Linked DNA regions of Styela clava. The protein of the gene in region 1 purifies or fractionates together with the protein of each later gene. This does not show direct contact. Links are inferred from orthologs where the notes say so. Each region holds a gene or a part of one and is shown on either strand. Other genes may lie near its edges.

Evidence for each region.
Region 2: the proteins of DNA-directed RNA polymerase II subunit RPB7 (region 1) and transcription initiation factor IIB-like purify together in Homo sapiens (affinity purification with mass spectrometry; 3 studies listed by BioGRID and IntAct, with this or other methods). This does not show direct contact. The link is inferred for Styela clava from reciprocal best matches to the Homo sapiens genes POLR2G and GTF2B.
Region 3: the proteins of DNA-directed RNA polymerase II subunit RPB7 (region 1) and RNA polymerase II subunit A C-terminal domain phosphatase-like purify together in Homo sapiens (affinity purification with mass spectrometry; 4 studies listed by BioGRID and IntAct, counting the BioPlex papers as one, with this or other methods). This does not show direct contact. The link is inferred for Styela clava from reciprocal best matches to the Homo sapiens genes POLR2G and CTDP1.

The regions. Positions count from the first base shown.
Region 1 is NC_135251.1:13,537,022-13,544,142, forward strand, and holds DNA-directed RNA polymerase II subunit RPB7, read left to right. Parts: upstream 1-4,265; 5' UTR 4,266-4,405; coding exon 4,406-4,417; intron 4,418-4,682; coding exon 4,683-4,792; intron 4,793-5,256; coding exon 5,257-5,467; intron 5,468-5,756; coding exon 5,757-5,894; intron 5,895-6,243; coding exon 6,244-6,291; 3' UTR 6,292-6,509; downstream 6,510-7,121. Other genes in the region: putative deoxyribonuclease TATDN3, read right to left, coding at 119-262, 482-562, 707-875, 1,376-1,407, 1,537-1,716, 2,280-2,495. UniProt on the Homo sapiens protein: Core component of RNA polymerase II (Pol II), a DNA-dependent RNA polymerase which synthesizes mRNA precursors and many functional non-coding RNAs using the four ribonucleoside triphosphates as substrates.
Region 2 is NC_135254.1:20,967,485-20,974,987, reverse strand, and holds the start of transcription initiation factor IIB-like, read right to left. Parts: upstream 3,101-7,503; 5' UTR 2,835-3,100; coding exon 2,821-2,834; intron 1,634-2,820; coding exon 1,465-1,633; intron 1,064-1,464; exon of another isoform or gene 1,062-1,063; coding exon 962-1,061; intron 201-961; coding exon 85-200; intron 1-84. UniProt on the Homo sapiens protein: General transcription factor that plays a role in transcription initiation by RNA polymerase II (Pol II). Involved in the pre-initiation complex (PIC) formation and Pol II recruitment at promoter DNA.
Region 3 is NC_135255.1:24,223,106-24,231,192, forward strand, and holds the start of RNA polymerase II subunit A C-terminal domain phosphatase-like, read right to left. Parts: upstream 3,006-8,087; 5' UTR 2,994-3,005; coding exon 2,744-2,993; intron 1,016-2,743; coding exon 1-1,015. UniProt on the Homo sapiens protein: Processively dephosphorylates 'Ser-2' and 'Ser-5' of the heptad repeats YSPTSPS in the C-terminal domain of the largest RNA polymerase II subunit. This promotes the activity of RNA polymerase II.

The DNA.
Region 1 (7,121 bases):
GGTACCTGATTGCACATGCTAGTTAGGACTGCATTCTAAATAATAATCCAATGAGCAAGCCCAATGCCAGACAAATCATGGCCTTCCGTCAACTCCGTCTCTATTTCAAATGTCCGCATCACTTCAGTAATACGCTTTTTAGCTTTGGAAACAACTTGCATGCATTTTCTGTTGTGATTTTTTGTACGTCTTCCACTGAAATACCTTTTATTTTCGCAATCCACTCGCATGATACTGTAATATTACTCGGTTCATTTCTGACCTGTGCGTAATAAAAAGTTTTGTATGAAATATAAATAAATAAAACATATATAAGCATTGTATAGTCATTGATGAAGCTAGTTGTTGACATATATGTACGGCTCAGATCTCAGATTAAAAAAATTGTTAGACAAAGTGCCCATATAGCAGAGTTGATGATATATTTTGTAAAAAAACAAAATGGACAAAAATGAAAGACAAAAGAAAATAGATGATCTACCTGCTTTTCTGGTCCTAAAGCTGGTGAATCAGTTTCAAGTAAAATATTGTCCATTGGAATTCGTTTGACAATGTTTTGTTTCTGAAAACAATGCAAATTTTGTGAAGCATCAAAGACAAAATGTTTAAATAATCAAGATAAAAGTACTTAACATGATTTGTGGCTTGTTTGTATCATTTTGACAATGGTGAATAAATTTTCAACAATTTCAGTTGATTACGGTACCTGTTCACTCCTCACAATACAGGGTGGTATAGAAAAATAATAACCGGCTTGAACTCCTTCCATTGCAGAAGCTGCATTCCCGCTGTATGCATGCAACACAACTTTTGTTGCACCACATTCCTTTAATGCTTTTATTGTCGGCCTACCTGCTGACCGTGAATGTACATTTCTAAAAAAATATCGTATTGAATAAAAGTGTTCATAAAATAAAAGTAACAAAATATTGCATCTGTTCTCAAGTAAACCGCCTTGCCTGCTACTAGGATAGGATTTACAGGATAGGATTTACATATTTATCCCGGGGGAGAGGAAAGCCGATAAGACGGCTTATCCATATGGCGAACCACGGCCTCTCGTCCGGTTACCATTCCAAGTCGGGTATGGGATTAGTTATATTGTTTGTTTTCGGAAGCATGGACTTGGTGGTGGAGGAAGCCGTAACCGACCAGCGGTTACGTGAACCACCCAACGACGGCGAGGAGTCCAGCAATCCTCTCGCACATAACCATCCCTGCATGGGATTCGAACCTGCGAACCCACGCGGAGTAATTAGAGGTGCGGTGGCGAGCGTATTCCTAACGCTTAGCCCGTTGAGCCACACCGCCGCGCCACTAGGAAGACTCATTTTTCATTTTAAACCATATCGATCTCAATAATAAAAATACTCACAATGGAAGATCATACTTCTGAGCCAGAGCGGCCTGTAATAGAAATGAGTTCAGATTACAACTGAAATAGTAGAAAATGTATTATTAACATTCAACAACAATTTAGTCAATTCAGTGAAAAATTAAAATGACAGATAAGATAATGGTGCTGACAAAGCGTACCTGGAGACGAAAAACTTCTCTTTGTTTCTCTTTACTATCGTTTTCTTTGGTATAAAAAGGTGTGAAATCAAGTCCAACTTCTCCTATTCCAACAATTTTATTGTAATGTGAATCAATAAATGGAATTGCATCCTTCAAATCATCTGGCATCACACTTCTTTCTGTGAGTTCGGAATCCCTCTTTATACAAAAATATATCAGTTTGGTGACAAGGATATACACAGCAGAATCCAAACGCTATTTTGATTCCTAAATGTTTACTTAAGAAGTCGATGTCACACATTTCCACTATTTTTTTATCTCATATATCACAAGTTAATAATATTAGAAAAATTTATTATATTTTTTATAGATTATAAATAATAATTTATAAATAATTATAAATTTATTAATACCCTCAATCAATTCCAAATTCCACAACAGAATAATTGTTTCCACATTATGTTTGCAGCAAATATGAATAGAATTGAATAGTTTGCAGACAGTATGAATACCATATTACTATGTCAAAATCATCCCTATCATGTCAAGTAAAACTTTAAATCATTGATTGAAATATACAATATAATATAGGAACATATGCGAAATTTCAAGCTCAAATAAGATGCATAATTGCAGTAACGCTTGAAAGCCGAAAGTATTTGATCTCCTGATTTTTAGACATGACTAGCTGGGCCATTCATTTCCAACATTCGAATGGGTGGCCATGTATCTGCATACTAAACATAAGTGGTTATGCATACCTGAACTGGATGGATTCCAAGGCAAGGAAACAAAAAGTCTGAATACTGTTTACAAATATCCAATGTCCTTTCAAATTCTGTAAAAAATTCAGGAACAACAATGATTGCTTTGATGTTTGCTTCCTTCCCTCGCTTCACAACAATATCTAGATCATCAGCAAACTCAGGTGCAGCAAGATGACAATGGCAGTCAACATAACCCATCTCCTCTTGCATTATTTATGCCTAATTGCCTCACCATGTATCTAGTACGGTACGGTAGGTACTGTAGTACGGTGCAGTAGTTGCAAAATCAAAATCAAGGACCTTTAAAAAAGAGAAAGGAGCTGTAGCTCAAACAGTTAACAGTCAGTCATTTCAATTAGTAAGCAGTTGAGGGAAAATATAGTTGACTCTTAACTAAATTTAAAAATCAGCAAAACTTGATCCTTTCTCAAAATATGTTTCAATGTACATTGTCCCATCGCTGGAGCTGTCGGGGAACAAAAGTTTCAAAATGCTTTTAGAAACAAATCGCGAGAGATATCGAGTCTATTTCCGGGGAATACCCTGACATGTGTTGATGAAATTTTGAGTAGCCACTAAGTGGCGATGCTGGTCAGTAATTCATCTGCATTCAACTCTCACTCATCGCACTGTTTAATAGGGAAATTGTGTTGAATAATGTTTTATAAGGATTTAATTTGGTATTCAAATTTATAAGATGTTTCATACAGCTATTTCCCTATTTAGATACACACACAACCACGACCTAGAATCCCCGAATTTGCTGCATTCAAGTATTTAAAATCAGCTTCATTTATGTACATGATATGTGGGGTAGATTCTGATGATCTCTCAATTACCATAATTGGACGGTAGAAGTTAGAAGTATATTACGTTTAATTTATCTACCTAATTTTTGTTATTATTCCGTGTAAGTTGTCCACTTTCACGTTTTTCAACTTTATTTTAAGTTATGCCAGTATGCTCATGTCCGCCTTCCAGGTATCACTGCATTTTGTTTGTCTGTCTACTTTTTGTGCTGTTATGGTTTTATGTCAGAGTACCGAAATAAATAAATAATTCATCAATTTTCTGGGAACATTTAAACCAGTGGGGATTGACAAAAAAAAGTTTGACATGATTTGTAGTCTAATTATGTTTAGCATGCTGGCTGATTTTATTTATATAAATGCAAAATTGGTAAAGACAGAAAGACGATCGAAGTTTAATAGCTTTTTTGCCACTATAAAAGAGAGTATTAAAATATTGGTTCTGAAAAGGGAAAGATAGGCAAACATTGAAAAATGAGAATTCGTGGTATTGTCTATTACGATTGTATTAAAATCGGTATATATTTTTATATATGAAACCTAATAAAATCCAGTCCAGCTGGTAGTTGTTAGTCTTAAGTGGATATTTCGGGTCTCATGTAGTTTCCTACCTAACATACTTCTAGCGGGCGTAGCACAACAATTTTTTCATGTGTCAATCCTAACCCCCACCTGACTATGCCATCCAAATATTACGTCTCTACGACGTCACAGTGACGTAATAGAGACCTTCAAACTATACCAACTGTCATCCAAGACGCGCACGTCTGCGCACCCGAAATCGAACGGCTATTTCTCTCGTTTTTACGTGGCGACGATTCCAATATGAGAGAGATCGCTGACGTTAGTAAGTTCTTTATCGTCGGCGCAGATGCCATTTCAGACGATAGTACGTATATTTAACAAGCTCTATGACGTGATTGTGATGTCGTAGTGACGTAATTTTTGGATGGCATAGTCTGGTGGGGGTTAGGATTGACATGTCAAAATTGTGATGCTACGCCCACTAGAAGTATGTTAGGTAAGAAACTACACGAGACCCGATATTTCTCCTTTTACCTGCTTATTGATAGAGTTTATAGATCTATATTTTAACCCTTTTTCACAGTGCCTAATTCTTTGAAAAATAACTCGTGAAATATCAAGATTATATCTAAATGCCGAAATGGGTTTTTGAATTTTCTTCTTGCAGAGTATTTATCATTACTGAATATTGATATTAAATTAAGAGCTTCGACAGTGAATATTTTACCGGAATATAAGAGGGATACACTGGTAATAACTAAAAGGTCATTACTGCATGCAAATAATATGTTTTATCATGTAAGTATGGGATTGATTTTTCTATATTTTTATTTGTTCATAAAATTGGAAATAAAGAAACAATATTCATGTCTGTATATTAATGGTTCAAAAACAGTGAAAGTGTGTCCCGATTTATCAATATTTTATTTTCTACAAGAAGTTGTATTACAAAATGGAAAAGATATTCAGTAATAAAATCTGATTATGTTCAATACAGTTTAATTCCAATCTTTTGTCTCTAACTTGGACCAAAATGATACATAACACAGAAACTTTATTACAGATTTCCTTGGAGCATGAAATACTTCTTCACCCAAGATATTTTGGACCGAATTTGCTGCAAACAGTCAAGCAAAAGCTGTTTGCAGAAGTTGAAGGAACCTGTACTGGAAAGTATGTCACCCATGGATGTTCAAAATGAACAAAATATCCGACTTGATATGAAATTAAATATATTATGTTCTTGATTTTAGGAATAACTTAAAATAGTTACATTCTAAAAACTATTATTTTAAACAGATGAAATCTCACAATATGATCAAAAAAGAACTTGATTGGATTCCTAATCCTATAAACGATAACCTATAGATTCAACCAAGCCATGTTTATATCAATTTACCTACATTTGCAAATTACCGCATTCAGTCTTTTTAATCAGTAATCACTAATCAGTAATCCCATGAACTGAATTGATGAATCCCAATAATTAATTTTTCCTTACTGGGTAGAAAAAAAACTCCAGTTTCGATTTTATTAGATTTTGTGCATTTTGAACTGATTTTATTATTAGGAATCGTTTTGCTGGTCCAGACAATGTACAATACATATTACAATACATATTTCAAATTGTATTTTAGGCATGGGTTTGTAATAGCGGTTACTACAATTGATAATATTGGTGATGGAAAAATACAACCCGGAAGAGGTTTTGTTCTATATCCGATAAAATACAAAGCAATTGTGTTCCGACCTTTCAAGGGTGAAGTCGTAGATGCCGTAGTGACACAAGTCAATAAAGTTGGACTTTTTACAGAAATTGGACCTATGTCATGTTTTATATCTAGACATGTATGTATGAAACCATTTTTTTTTTTGACTCTATATGGCCATTCATTAAGCTTTGTAAGTGTACATCATGATTCATGACATCAAAAAACACAAATGTTTTTTTTTCGGCATGCTGATTCCATAAGGCTATCTTGTCGCTAGTGGCATTCGTCACACTTCACTCAGTAAGATTATTTTCTGCATCCCTTTAATGTGTTGATGCAGCGCTCCTTATATTAATAGCCATGAGCTCCTGCTCTATAATAAAGTGTCATGTTGCAGTTTTAAAATGAATTAATTTTTTCATCAGTCAATTCCATCAGATATGAAGTTTGATCCAGAATCTCATCCTCCGTGTTATAAAACAGAAGATGAAGATGTTGTTATACAGCAAGATGATGAAATTCGATTAAAAATCGTTGGTACAAGAGTTGATGCAAATGATATTGTAAGTTAAACAATTTAAGGGTTTCATTCCAGTGTTGGATAAAAGATAATTAGGCTTTTGTCAAGTCAGCACGTGTATCCTTGTCGCAAAATTTTAGTTATGAAATATTTATCAAACGTAAGTTAAGTTCATATACTGTGCATTCGCACACAAGTACATTAATTAAAGATAATATGTTTTATCATTTCTCGATACATACTACTTTACAAGTCTTCACCAACACCCAGCGATGTGATTAGCCCAGTGGGGTTTCAAAGACTCAATTTTTGGTCCAAGATTATTGTTGAATTATATAATGGTATACAACTCAGATTTTTAAAAAATAATGTAAGAAATATTCATTTTCCAGTTTGCCATTGGTTCACTTATGGATGATTTCTTAGGACTGGTCAGTTAGTATTTTAACAAAGGTCTCAAACTTTGGAAAATGAAACTTGCGTCGACGGTTCTCCATGAAAAGAACTCACTAGAGATTGGATGAACTGCATTGCATCTTGGGGGACAGCATAACTTGCTATTGAACCATATTACTGGTTTTCTCTACGATTGACTCAATAAAATTTAAGACTTTTTCTTTGTCTTGAATAAATTTTTGCAAATATTTGTTTAGTAGTATTCAAGGATATAATTTCTTTGATGTAGTTGATGATATGTGTTGTACGGCAGGTCAGGTCACAGAAATTACCTATAGTTTCTTGTCGAATCATGATAAATGCTGTATGGTTTAGCCCAGTGGTTCTCGAACTTTTTTGTGATCTGACGCCCCCCTGAAAAATCTGCTCAAGTTGCGAGTGAATAAAGGTGATAAACATGATACTTTCCTCAATAAAATACCTTTTCTGCCATGAGTTTATTTAAACGAACAAACAAAATATAACTAAAGTGGGTGAAATCACATTTAATGGGGTGGATGAGTCTTTTTACAAATGTCAATGGAACTTTGGGGTGAAGAGCCACACGTGTTTTTGTTTGATCTTTTCATTGATTACTCTAGATCGGTCATTCGTCTTGATTACGACCATGGTAAAAACTAAATACATGCTGTAGTAAGATAATTTTAAAAAGGTCAATTCCCCAACATCCTGATTCAATTGGCTTGCAAAACAGCAGCTCTTCTACAGCTTTTTGTTCATCAAAGTAGGCAAAGCATATTAAATGGTCATCTTGTCTTGGAGTTGCTCAATCAATCACAAATATCATCTGCTATGTCACCAATACGTCGAAATA
Region 2 (7,503 bases), on another chromosome or scaffold:
ACAGTTTCGAAACTTTCTTTGGTTGTTAAGTAGTCAACAATCAGACAACCTAAGCCATAAACAAACTTTTATCAATTTTCTTACCACAATGTTTTTAGGAAGATTTATTCTGTCAGCCATTGTTGCTATTTCTCTAAAAGCACCGATTAATACTCTGTCTGCACTATTCATTGATTTTCGGTTGGAAAACTTGGCAAAACCTGAAAAATGGTTGTACATGTATTTGAACCTTACTGAATCAAGTGAAATAATTAAAATCAAACACTTCATTCAAAAATTAATATATTGGTCAGGGGTCGAGAACCTTTTTGGTCAAGAGTGCCATGAAAGGTACATATTTTAACTGCATTTCTGTGCGAGCCATAGAGCATTTCTTCCTTAATCAGGCCTGAAATTTTTGCTCAAAAGTCAACATACAATGTCAATATACATTTAATGTGACTTCTGATGCTACCTGTTGTCGTTGCAGGATTGCTGACATGCAGCACAAGTTGAAATCTATAACACTCATCACCCTTCTTTCGTTTAGGAATCTCCGTAGTATTTCAAAAACTAGCTTTGTTAATCTAATTTAAATATGACAAATACTGTGACTAGTACGTAAAAACAGACTAAGCTTTATTCTATTGCTCCGCGATTCTATCGCTTTGTGATGTCACGAAAGATGTTCCGGAATCCCCTAGTTTTGTCACAATGTCTGTCTGGTAATTCTCCTATATAACATAGACATGTGCTGGGCGTTCTCAAACATATTGGCAAATTTGGCTATAAAAGTGTTTGAAATCTTGTAACAATAGTAAGCTTAGCCTTAGATTTTTCTGGGAGCCATATGTCGTTACCAAAAGAGCCATATATGGCCCCCGAGCCATGGGTTCCTGACCTCTCATATAGGTTGTACATAAGAACGATTGATATTCCTATACCCCACAGGGGTGAATGAAATTTAATCACACTGAATAACCTGAATCATCTCCACCAGGACCAGAAGGTCGCTCAATTATTGTTGACAAGTCACTTCCAGAAAGTAGTGAGTTTTCTGCATCTCCAACACGAGACATATCCTGTAATCAAATTATACAATCATATAGAATATGATCAAATAGATTGGTTGAAAACTAATTAAGCAAGTTTAGCATTCTGTTACGTTTCATTTTTATCTGCCGGGTGCCATTGGTAAGCCGCTGAACTTTGATTGAGAGATAAAGCAAGGAATCGTATAATTCAAAACAAAAACAATTTCCCAGCTTCAAAAAATAGTAACTTTGTATTTCAAGTGTTTTCCATATTTCGTTGATGAAAACACTGTCATGACATCTGAAAATAGCTATCGAATCATTTCGCATTCAACATCTATTTATAGAAAAAATTGGTGATTTTTCACAACAAAAATTTTTCATATGATCAGCCATTTTATACATACAGACATAAGAGAATACAAGTATAAAATACATGAACTCAGAGTACCTTAGAGTCTTTATCATTGCTGAAAGTACGCCACTCCGACCCTACATCCACCACTCTGTCACCAACTACTAAGCCACATTCAGGACACACCATATCCCCTGCCCTGTAATCTTCAATCAAAGGAGCATCTGGATGCTGAGGGCAACAGACTTGACGATGATGATTTTTGCTGAAATATTTGAAAACAGTGTTGAAATGACTCTTGATATTGAACATATTTATTACAGCAGAAGCCAAAAAATTATGACAACATGAAGACATGGCAATAGTTTCTTATTGTGTGTTCCACATAATTCAGTACAGTGATAGTTACATTGCATAAATTATCATTTCAAGCAATTGAAATCTCAGAAATTGATCAAAATTCCTTTATTATATTTTTGAGAACAAATCAAAACACTGTTTTTAATCTGTAATTGTGAAATGATCAAGGGTTTTGGCCTACCCCAATTCACAATGCTGCTAACACAGGTCTGCAGGTTTTCTAAATTCTTTAATTTATTAAAAAGATGATAAAAACATAAAAATACAATTTGAACTGCAGTACCGCAATACTAACAGACTGATGATAGATCTCATATTTCCAATAAGGCTGATTCCTCGCTTTAAACAATTGTTTTTACATGAGTACCATGTTGTTTATCTCCTGAAATTTATTCGTACATGTAAGGCTGACTCTTTGCTGATTCGAACAATTGTTATGTGTCCAAATTTACATTTGAGTATAGTAGTCCAATAGCCAAAATTGTTTTTTTATTTGTGGGGCTTACTCCTCACTTTCAAATAATAGTGTAATCGTTGATTATTTGCCCAAACTGTTTCATTTCACAAATCTCATCATTTAAAAATTGATTTCACAGAAAAAAATTATTTACTTTTATTTAGGCCTACTTCATTTTTTTGTTTGTTTGTTTTTCCAAATTTTGTTTCGTGAACTTTAACCATTTCTAATAGTCATATTTTACTGTGAACTTATCATCGTAAACTTAGAGGGGGCTGACTTCGATGACCGCATGGTCGTATCGCTCCTTCCGAAAAAAGTGTATTTTTTATAGCCATTATTTATTTATTATTATGTTTTTTTTTAAGGTCCACGTTGTGGATTCATAACAGTTTTGTAAAAATAAATAAATGATGAAAAAATAATAATCATAGAACATAGTTACATATAATAAACAAATATATTCGTAAACATCATTCAGTATTATCCAGCAATTCATATTATTCCATTGTTGATTTCAGATAAAGTTTCCCATGTTTATCAGTAAATATACATTAATTTATATGTTTTTAATTTATAGCTTATTATGACTGTAGTTTTTCTGGTTGACGAAATAAATCTCTCTCTCTACTCACCTAGAACCTGACATTGTCAGATCAGATTCTTTGTCTACAGTTGAAAACCCTGTCTGTCGGTCTCAAATACAAGACTAGTTTCAACACTGTAACAGCAGAACAGAGCTTCGAATGAAGGCAGAATTGCTACCTCGGGAGTTTTCAGACCAATGAGATGTTCAGACACGCGCCATAGGCCTGATTTACTGATAAGCTAATTCACAGATAGGCTGAATTTTTCAATCGTCGGTTGAGGGTTGATGCAATGTTTTTCGACCTTTGACCTCACAAACCTGTTAGGACGAGTCCGGTATTCGGCGAATCCGAGTAAAGTAATAGATCATGGACTCGAATCGAATCGTCCGAGTCTGTGACGTCAAAGTGAAAACGGCAAAAAACACGTTTTCGATTGTGATGCAACAATACGCGATCAGTAGCGTACGCCGTACTGCGTTCTTGCCAAGTCCATGCTTCCGAAAAACAATATAACTAATCCCATACCCGACTTGGAATGGTAACCGGACGAGAGGCCGTGGTTCGCCATATGGATAAGCCGTCTTATCGGCTTTCCTCTCCCCCTGGATAAATATGTAAAATCCTATCCTATCCTAACTTGCATTGGAACGGATACGATGATTTTAAACTGAACTAACCGAAAACGACAAAAGAACCCAACACCCCAATCCATGATTTGTGCGTAGACTGCTATGGAACATTCAGTCCATTTACCGAGCTTGTTTTTCAGTAAAAAAATAAAATAAAAATTTGTCACTGTGTCACTTTTGCAACGTAATTGAACTAGGCCTACTGCATCATCATTTTTCGGCAGCGAGTGTTCTTTAATCCATATATCTGTAGGAAAAGCACATACACGTCTCACATTTTAATTTGAATTTATAAGATATTGCCCGAGGTCACATCGTGTTTTTGGTTTATTGTGTTTTGGGGGGACGGGCACGTACTTGTACGTATTTAACTTTATTATTGAGTTATGCCCGTCCTCCAAGTCCTCTGTATTTTGTTTGCCCTTTGTTGTTGTTTTGCTTTTTGTTTGTATCAGAGTGACCAAATAAAATTGATTGATTGATTGATTGATTGATTGATTGATTGATTGAACTTGTTTTTTGGCCACATGCTCACAAAACAGAAACGAATGCCAAGCGATGTTCGCTTTGGCCGTAAGCTTGCTTTCATGCCCACCTACGTCAGTTAATTCAGAGCGTATTTTTAGCACGACTGGCGTTGTAAAGTCGCCGTTACGTAACCGTCTGAAGCCAAAACGTCGAAATATTAACATTCTTGCATGTCAATCCGGCATGAAATGATAACCGGACGAGAGGTCGTGGTTTGCCATATGATTTAACTTTATTATCGGCTTCCGCTCCCCTGATAATGTAATCAATGACATTAAACAACATGATGCGCAACCCAGGCATTTTTGGCCGAAGATCGTATCCGATAGCACGCTCCAATGCACATACTTGACGAGACGAAAACGAGCGGATGTGTGCTGCTTTCAAGGCATAGCACTAATGGTGTTCGTTCCTGCTTTGACAGTTGTTGTCGATTTTAATGATATATTGGAAAATTGAAGGTAAAAAGAAATCGGAAAAAAGTAAGGTAAATACTATTGTTGTATATCACACCCGGGCATTGCACTGTTAAGTACATGTGGGAAAGCCGACTTTTGCCAAATACTACGAAGTTATTAAATCAGTACGGTACGTAGTTGCCCATTTGCCGGAATTGCATATTTACTTACCCCTTACGGTTTCAAATAGTTCATGCACCTCCAATTAGATTATTTTTAATCAGTGAGGATATATACTCATTGCTGTAACATACTATTGCTCATTCACTTTTATTTGCGTATTGAATCAAAGGGTTAACAAGTTCACCTAACATTTCACTCATACCGGTCTATATTGTATAGTAATTTTCTGTAAACCCCTTTATTAGTTGGTTTATATACCAAATTCAGTAAAACATTTTTTACATAAAACATGAGATATTGGATTTATTAGCTTTTCCAATCTAAATCATATAGACTGCTTTATTTATTCTTAACGAAAATTATTAAATCTCCTCTCTTTCTTTAGATGTAAAAGTTGTGGGAAAACCTGTCTAAGCATTGTGGGACTCCTGCAGCACAAGAGGCAATAGCAAAAATAGAAAGTATATCAATCAAGAAATTAAGCCGACATAAAGCAAAACTTTCAACTATTCGTCCAACCTCAATTTTCTATTATTTATTCACATGACAACTGTAGCAGAAGGGGAGATATCAGAAGTCTGTCGACATATCAGTGACAGTGTGATTCCAAGAAATACAATCAGAATACTCCATAAATGTTTGCAATAGAAGAACAACCTATGGAGACATGCAAAGACATTTGACCCTCCGGTAGAGTTGTGTATGGCCCCTACATCCTGCAGGGCTTAAGGAAAATAACTAAAAATTCCAAAGCGTAAGATTGCATAAGCGGTCTTATTCGTAAAAATGCACAAAACATGCCAGACATACTTAAAACAGCTTTGGAAAATGAGGATTATGGGTCACTCACTACACCTGTGTTATATTTGATTCATCAACTTTTGGTAGTAGGCCTACTAAAGAAGAAATTCAGGAAATGGTATAATCATGATTCATGATAAAATACTGTTTTATATTTAGGACAACTTCAATCTAGACCAGGGATATCAAACTCGCGGCCCCGGAGAACTTCCAGTGCGGCCCTCGAACGCTTAACAATAATTGTAATTGTATTTTGGAGTTTTTTTTATCTAAGTGTAATAGATTTTTCAACCCTTTTAAAGTGAAATTGAATATTCACACAGAAAGCAATTTACTGAAAGTAGTTTTGGAAAGTTAATTTTTTTGTTCACATTTTGACCCAATTAAGAATACACATCAAGCTAGCAAAAGAATACTTGAATAAAACACTTGAGTGAATAAATTGAACGCAAAGTACATGAAGAAGGTGGCATTTTCGAAGAAAATGGAAGTTGCAATATTTCTGCATTTCACAAAATTTTGAAGCACATTGTTCAATTTGTCATATTTTCATCAGTACAATAAAAAAACACAATAAGCTCGGCAGTCAATATGACAATTTCGAAGACCAACTTCGAACAGAAAATTACCATGTGTTTGTATATTAATATAAATATACAACGAATTAGTGACTAAAAATTAATATCAATATTAATTCAAGCAATCCTATGCAATGTGGCGCGAAATGTCGTGTCGTATCTGTCATTTGTTTTTTTACTGATCTATTCATGAAATGATAAAAGAAACTTTTTTGCATTACTGGAATTAATTAAACATTCGCAAAGATCTAGAAAAACCCATGATCACGTGTCCTCGTTAGTTAGAGTTGGTACTATAAAATCATTTCAGCCTTGCCTTAGTATGCTGGTGACACAAAAAAGATGCCAAACGTCAGGACAAATGTAATTAAAAAAACATTGAGTTTATACTGTAGTATTTTTGTTAATTTCAAGTCCATGTATTTAGATTAAGTCATTTTTAGTGTATGTATTATTCTTTCCTTATCTAAAGCTTGTTCAAAAATGATTTTGATGGTTGTATATAGAATTTTATGATTTTTTGTAATAAATACAGTAACTTGCAATAATAGTGGAATGCAAATATTAATATGTAATTGCATTTGAAATTAAAGAAAATAATAAAACTTAATCCAACTGTTTAGTTGCATCACAATATATGTCACAAACTAAAACTATCTGAAAAATATCTTTCAAGTATACATTATCAAAAAGTGTTTTTGGCCCTTTTTACAATTTCCAAAATGCAATGCGGCTCTCAAAAACCCTTGAGTTTGACACCACTGATCTATTCTAGACGATTCAAGCATTGCTTTGGGAAATAATATCACTGCAATTAAATTGAAAAAAATCTCGCTATATTGAATACAAAATCGTTGCTATCATAAAGGTAAACCAATTCAGCCACTCGGAATATATTGGCCTTCACAAAGCAATGGAGGCAAAATTGAGAGTTCATGAGCTATGAACTTATGTTCTTTTCTTTGTCTTGAACTTTATATACTCCACAGCCCCTATTAATTTTTTTTTAATTTTAATTACCATGTGATGGTCATACATATCTTTAACTTGTATTTTCTGTCATGATGTATTATCTCAATGTGTCAAACTTTTAATTAGTGTGCATATTTTGCTTCCAGATGACATAAATGTACAGTATTGTCTTGTTTATTACCTCAGCTTGGAGTATTGACAAGAAAAAGGTGCCCGTAAATTACGTAAAATGATTTTTAACTCTTTGTTATAATCAGAATTCACAATTAATAGGAATCATAAACAGCCAACAATCAATGAGAATTATATGCCAAATCCCTCAGAATAAATTTGTCTTCTAAAATCGGAGGAAAGCAAAACATATAGGCAGTTTCCATTCATACAAGTCTTTCATGAAAACTTGCTCGAGCCAAACTAAATGAGCATCGTCAGATGATCGGTAAGATAATATTAATTAGTGGGCTATGAACTAAATTCCTAAATTTAGACACAAACCTATCTACGAGGCATTATGTACCAGCAATGTTACCTACGGTTAACTAAATATGTAATATATATGTCTAATAAATTAACCTACTGAAGCATGTTCGATAGGTGCAAACTTTGTGTTATGGAATTGTATCACAGCACCGTTAAGAG
Region 3 (8,087 bases), on another chromosome or scaffold:
TCATGAGATACACTGGGCGATTTGTCACCATTTTGTTCTGAGGTTTGATCGACAGACGGTTGCGATAAAGCTTCGGACTTCTGTGTATCTTCGCCATCCGAGGTTGAATTATCGCTACTGCTCGTACTTGACCCAGAGTCTGAACTCGATTCGGAATCAGACGAAATATTCAAATCATCGTCCACCTCGTCTTTGGTGACAATTTTATTTTTATTCGAATCCAGTGGTCCATCAATATCTTCCTTCGTTCGTTTTGCATCAGAAACTCTCTCCGTTCCTTCTTCCTCAGATTTGCGTTTGCGTCGACTCACTTCAATTTCTGTTTTCTGTAGTTCCTTCTTGTATGGATTGTTGATGTCGCCTGTCCCTTGGAAATAATTATACTTTCTGACCATGATCAAGTTTGGCACGGCGTTCCAAACATCATCCCTGTCATCAATAATGCAAACCATAGAATCGCCACAAGGAAATAAATGTCGAAGATTTCCAGATTTTTTAAACGGATGAATGCACTCATCTCTTGACAGGATCCGATGAGCAAAATATTTTTTTTCTTTATCAATGAAGTCAGCGATTTTGTGAGCGTACTGCCGTGAACCGAATGTAACGATTTGCAATTCATAACGCTGAGATATTTCTTTCAAAAACTCACGACAATGAGGACGAAGTTTCGTGAATAGCATTGGGTCATTTTTACTGAGCTGGAAAGAATAAAATTCATCTGTGGAATGGCAAAGAGCTGCGAGCCCTGGATCTTGTGTCGTATGAATCAATGTTTGATCCAAATCCACCAATAATACAAGTTTTTTCATCCGATGAAGTCTGTTTTTATCTTGTTGTGCGATTTCTTCCGCTTGTTCAGCGCTAATTCGCAGCTCAGGAATGCTCGGAATCATAGAAACGGTAGCAGAATGTGATTTCTGTCTTTCATGCTTGGCCCGGCCCTCATCTATCATTCTGAGATCCTGACCGCACTCGGCACACATATCCTTCATCACAACTGGGTGAGCGCAACCTGAAAAATTAAAAGCATGAATCATATGACGCCAACATAGTCGAAATTTATTGCAAAATATATTACGATGTTTTGGTTTTCCAGGTTATCATTTAAACCAGTGGTGCTCGAACTTTGGGACGGCCACAAGGGGGCGTAGACAATTTTTATTAGGGGAGGGCATGTCAAGCTAATTAAAAATGAAAATATTCTACTATCTACGTTCCATCCATGTATTTTCAACATGTTTTTACGAATAAAACATACTTTCACCTTACTATCTGCTATTAAGGAAATTATAAATGAAAAAAAAAATAGAGCCGAAGCCTCCAAAAATAATGGTAGCCCCGGTCTCAGCAAAATGTCTCCAATCAATCTCACCCGTTTGATTAACATACATATATGACAATAATTACACGTGGCCCTAAGTATAATACTACATAACCTGTTGTGTTCTATTGACTTTGAAATGAAATATCTAACCCCCTTCCTTCAACCTAACCTAGCTGGAATTTATCCAACAAAGTGCAAACATTAACAAGCATACAATTTGATTTGGTTATTCCTATTCAGCACAACAATACTAGGACAGGATTTACCTATTTATCCCGGTGGAGAAGAAAGTCGATAGAGCGGCTTAATCATATGGCTAACCGAAGCATCTTGTCCAGTTACCATTCCATGTCGGATATGGGATAAGTTAGTCAGTTGTTTTTGGAGTGGAAGTGGTGACTCCTCTACAGCCCATGGGCCGAGGCCCATCTAATTGGGCCGCAGCCCATTAGCGATGGACCGTAAATTTCAAGTCTTTTACGACAATTTATACAATTGTAATATGTGAAAATACTTAAATTGAGTAAAGATAAACTTTAGGTCTTGTATAGTATAGTACCACATGCAGCCTACTTCTGGTTGGTCTGGCTCAATTTATGTATACGTCATTCCTAACCCTCACCTGGCAACGTCACCAAAAAATTTAAGTCACATGGGCCATGGCCCATCGCCAATGGGCTGCGGTCCTATTATATGGGCCGTGGCCCCGGCCCATAGGGAAGTCACTACTCACCACCCCTGTAGTGTTTTTGGATGCATGGATGATGGAAGAAGTCGTAACTGACCAGCAGATACACAAGAACCACCCTTAGGAGGCGAGGAGTCCAGCAATCCTCTCGCACATAATTAACCCAGCACAGAATTCGAATCTCGAACCCACGCAGAGTAATCAAAAATGCCATGGCGAGCGTATTCTAAACACTTAGCATGATGCACCACACTGCCGAGCCATATCGTTCAACCACATATGGATCCAATATCGAAGCAGCCAAGGGTAAAGGACTTCAATATAAACTTATAGACAAAATATACTTATACAATGCATTATAGAATTCATTATAACACAATGTTATGCTTCCGATATTATTAAATTCCCATGTTATTAAAATCCCCCTTTAAAGTTTCAATCAGCATATAGATATCATCTTCTGCAATGCTAGCGGCACATTGTCTTTTGAGATTTCATAGTTTGGCCGCAAAGCCTTGGATTTCACATTGTTGAGTCACAACAATGCAACCCCAGGGGAAATCTCTGCAGTGTTTGAATAAGCACAAATTTTTCTCTAATAGTAGAGGATTTAAAAAAATAACAACACATGAAAACACAACTGAATACTCCTGAAAATCTCCTTGTGAACCCCAGGTTGAGAGCCCTAGTTTATGGAATTCACTAAAATAAAATGCTATGCTTCCCACCTTCTATTTCCAGTAGAACGCCCTCAGAAATGGCAACTTGGCCTTCGTGCATCAAGAACATTTTCACTGTCCCAACATGTTTCGATTTCAGATGTAATTCTTTCATCTTTGTTTGCTTCGTTGGATCTTCCACGTGTCGATATATCGCAAGAGGTGTGCCATGTTTTATCCATTCCCCTTTCTTTACCAACCATTTCAATATTCTAATCGGTTTATGCCCAGGTACATGGACAAGTTTTATTTCCGCCATTACTGACTAATCAACCCTGCGAATAAACATGGTACGAAGAAGGAATACGAATGTTATTAGACTAAAATAAGACAATGTTCCTCATCCTGAAATTCCAGCTCACAGAAAAATTTTATTGCTTGGGGAAGGAAAATTTATTTTGTATTTGAGTGTAAACTTATTATTTGATAATAATATTGACTTATTCATTATTATCAGTCGAGGTTGAACCAATGCAGTACGGCACACTATCCCGAATCCGGATTTGCGTCTACATTCCGGAAGAGCCAAAATATGGATAGGCGTCTGTGAAACCGGGGGCGTCGAGTCGTCTGCGAGCTCGATGCGTGAGAACGTCAGATGTCTGGATATGACGTCAAAGAAAGTCACGCACAGATCGGCAGTTCGGCACGGCTCTCGAATTTTGCTAATTTGATTTTCGTTTTTTACCGATGTATACTGACCTATATGGTTAGATATACGATGTATTTCTGAATCATTATATTTAGTCTACTGTTGGTAGTGCCTAATTAAAATAATGTTGCGTAAATGCAAACGTCTGTGAATAAAATAATTACTTTTAAATAATATCAAGAGATTACAAAATTATGCGTTTCGATTAATACGTCTATGATTCCAACTAATTTTATTATAGGTGTTTGTGACTACATGACATCGTTTGAATTGTCGTATAACGAAGTCAAAACGATGCACGATATCGAAGTTTTTTTTTCAATAGTTAAATTAATATCGATAGTGAAACTTTGTATGCCCGTTAATACCTGTAATTACAACAATTTAACATAGCATCTTCGGTTATTTAGAACTGAAACTTCCAGAACGCACAACGATTACGAATTACGATATCATTTAATAATTATATTCGAGATTTTTATTTAAATTTGAGCGTCAACAATCTATAGTAAAATAAAAGCCTCGATGATTAATTGGATTAAACTATTTTGCCAATTTGATTCTTGTTTTTCACAGACTACGTAAATTGATCATTTGCGGCATACGAATGCATCAATGCGGCATTATATTAATTTGATTCTTGTTTTTCACCTATCTATTCTTGCATAAATCACGCAAATTAACATTTGCGGTATATGATTGCCTCGACGTGGCATTGAATTAAAATATTCTCGTATTCCGTATACTTCGAAGTTAAACATTCGCGACATATGAATGTATCGATGCCGCATTATATTAGTTTGAATCTTGTTTTTCATCGATCTATACTAGTATAAATTACGCAAATTGAACATTTGCGGCATATGAATACATCGATGCCGCATGATATTACATTATTTTGCTAATTTGATTCTTGTTTCTTGCCGATCTATTATTGTGTAAATTACGCAAGTTGATCATTTGCGGCATATGAATTAAATTATTTTCGTATAGATTAACATTTGTGGCATATGAATGCCTCGATGTGGCATTGAATTAAATTATTCTCGTATACCGTAACTTTCGAAGTTAAACATTTGCGGCATATGAATGTATCGATGGGACATTATATTATTTTGAATCTTGTTTTTTACCGATCTATACTAGTATAAATTATGCAAACTGAACATTTGCGGCATATGAATACATCGATGTGGCATTATATTAAGTTATTTTGCTAATTTAATTCTCGTTTTTCGCCGATCTATTCTTGTATAAATTACGCAAGTTGCACATTTTGCGGCATATGAATGTCTCGTTGCGGCATTAGATTAAATTATTGCTTTATGAACTAATTCATCTAATGCTATATCGAGGCATTAATTTTACTGTTTATCGATTGTGTGTTATCAAAATGTAATTTTTATTATCTCTGATCCATTTATTATCGTTAACACGCCATCCTATCTACATTGAAAATGAGAGAAACACGGCACGCCAAGGTTTACGTCGAGGAACGGCCGATGCGTGCCTGCGTGCGTCGATTGAAATTCAGTGACGTCACACGCCGTCAATCGTTTTTTGCTCATTTCTCTCGAACGCACCGGTAAAATTTTTTTTACATCGGTAGATCTGATTATTTTTTCACGAGGAATTCAATGGTGATGGTTTTAGATTGCGCTTTTTGTTAGTTTACTGCGCAGCTTCAATTTATCGATATCGGGAGACAAAATCCGCCAGACGTCCATCGAAGGAGGGATATTCGATCACCGTTAAAATAGGTTTCTCTAAAACGAGAGATTGTCTCTCGATCTGTAAAGTGTGCCGTACTGCAATGCCTTTGCGCTAGTGGATCTGTTGATTATGCGTATAATGTAAGGATGCTGTAGCAGGAATAAAAATACCTTATTATGCATTTTAAGAGTCTTGCTACACTAACATAAATGTATTTCTGTAACTATTCATCTGACCAAGGTCAGACTTTCCGATTGCAAGTTTCACATTACCAGTTATCTATCTATCAACAATTATTGAACAGCAAACTAAAATGGAGTTTTTGTGCATAGTGCAGGGACAGTAGAGAGACGACTTTACACAGAACTTCATGGTGAATAATGTTTGAAATAATTGAAAGTTATTGCCTTCCGGCGATAACAACAATTTTCAACCACTATAAATTCAAAACTAATTGCAGAATTGGGTCTAGTACACCGATTCTCAACCGGTGGGCGATGGCCCACTGATGTGGTCTAGTAAACGCCATGACTGCTTAAATAACGTCTAACAAAAATGTTATGTGAAATGAACGTCGTAACTGCTCAAATAACACCCAACGAAATTGTGATGTGAAATTTCAATGTAAAATGATCGAAATTAAACCCTTATTGTCTTAAAACGTCGCCGTCTAAAATGCGAGAAGCTGGACAACTCATCTGTCCTATCATGAGTCGAGTTGTCCGCCGTCCGTTTCTTCCATGCATTTACAGATTTAGCGTATTGTGTTCGCGCAAGACGGGGTTGTATTTTCACATCACGTTTTTGTTTGGCATTATTGGAGCACCAACCGCTTACAGCATTCCTTTCCCAGTTTCCCCAAGCAGCCAAGAGAAACATGCAAAACCATCTTATCCTATATAGCTGCATCTATATCCAGTACCGGTACCAGTATCTGAGTACCCGTATTTAACTATATATTTCAGTATTTAGATATACGGCAACATATATTTCAGTATTTATATACCAGTATACGGCACCGGTACCCCGGTACCGTTTTTTGCGTCACCGTTCACCGTGAAATGTTATATTCAACTTTTTTTTCTAATTTTTGTTCACAGTAAGCTGGTAAGTGCATTTTCAATTTGGTGAAAGATAAACTACTGACTGAACGAAGCCCCCACTACATAATATATTTTAGCATAGCTGCAACTTTTCCAGTCGTGGCGCCATTGCTGTAAATATAACCACTGTGAAGCTAGTAGCAATTTGACCTTTGTGTGCGGCGAAGCGGAAAGGTTAATATTTATGGCAGAAATGGAGGCGTGTCAGAATCTACACCCGAAAAAATGAAGATAAACGAAATTAGCATACTATTATGGGAAATATGTTTATAATTTAGCAAAAATAACAATTATATAGCAAAAAAATAAATAATAAAAGTTTGAAAAGGAATGAAAAAACAAAAAAAAGGGGAAACGAATTTTATTTAACTTCCTTCGAAAAAGCAGATAAGCCAGATAATTTCAAATCCAAGCAAAAATCCCTTCCGCGGGAGAGGCATTCGATTTCATTATTTATTAATAAAGAGGTTTATGTTAATTTTTTCCCACAACTAGAACCTAAGTCTTTTTTTTATTTTAGAATCTACGTTTTTCTCATAGCGAAAATGACCTTATTTGGAAAAATTACGTATAACGAAAAAAGTTAAATCTAGTCAATTTTCAAAGTCCAGCAACACACCCTTCTGCACAAAAGACATTCGATTTCATTATTTGTTATTAAAGAGGTTTACCTGAAGTTTTTCACTCAACTAGAACCTAAGCCTTTTTTATTTTAGAATCTGGGGTATTCTCATAGCGAATATGGCCTTGTTTGAAAAAAATACATATATCGACAAAAGATAATTTAGACAATTTTCAAAGCCCAGCTGCACACCCTTCCCCACAAGAGGCATTCGGTTTGATTATTTCCCATTAAAGAAGATTACCAGAAGTTTTTCACACAACTAGAACCTAAGCCTTTTTTATTTTAGAATCTGGGGTATTCTCATAGCGAAAATGGCCTTATTTGGAAATATTAGGTATAGCGAGAAAAGCTAATGTAGTCCATTTTCAAAGCCTAGCAGCACACTCTTCCGCACAAGAGGCATTCGATTTGATTATTTCACGTTAAAGAGGTTTTTCTGAAGTTTTTCACACAACTAGAACCTAAGCCTTTTTTATTTTGGAATCTACGTTATTCTTATGGCGAAAATAGCCTTATTTTGAAAAATTACGAATAGCGAAAAAAGGTAATTTAGTTAATTTTCAAAGCCTAGCAGCACACCCTTCCGCACAAGAGGCATTCGATTTGATTATTTCATGTTAAAGAGGTATACCTGAAGTTTTCCACACAACTAGAACCTAAGCCTTTTTTATTTTAGAATCTACGTTTTTCTCATGGCGAAAATGGCCCTAATTAGAAAAATTACGCATAGCGAAAAAAGCTAATTTAGTCATTTTTGAAAGCCTAGCAGCACACCCTTCCGCACAAGAGGCATTCGATTTGATTATTTCCCATTAAAGAAGATTACCTGAAGTTTTCCACACAACTAGAACCTAAGCCTTTTTTGTTTTAGAATCTACGTTATTCTTACGGCGAAATGGCCTTATTTTGAAAAATTACGTATAGCGAAAAAAGCTAATTAGTCAATTTTCAAAGCCTAGCAGCACACCCTTCCGCACAAGAGGCATTAGATTTGATTATCTCATGTTAAAGAGGTTTACCTTAAGTTTGCCACACAAATAGAACCTGAGCCTTCTTTATTTTAGAATCTGGGGTATTCTCATAGCGAAAATGGCCTTTTTTGGAAAAATTACGTATAGCGAAAAAAGCTAATTTAGTCAATTTTGAAAGCCTAGCAGCACACCCTTCCGCACAAGAGGCATTCGATTTGATTATTTCCCATTAAATAAGATTACCTGAAGTTTACCACACAACTAGAACCTAAGCCTTTTTTGTTTTAGA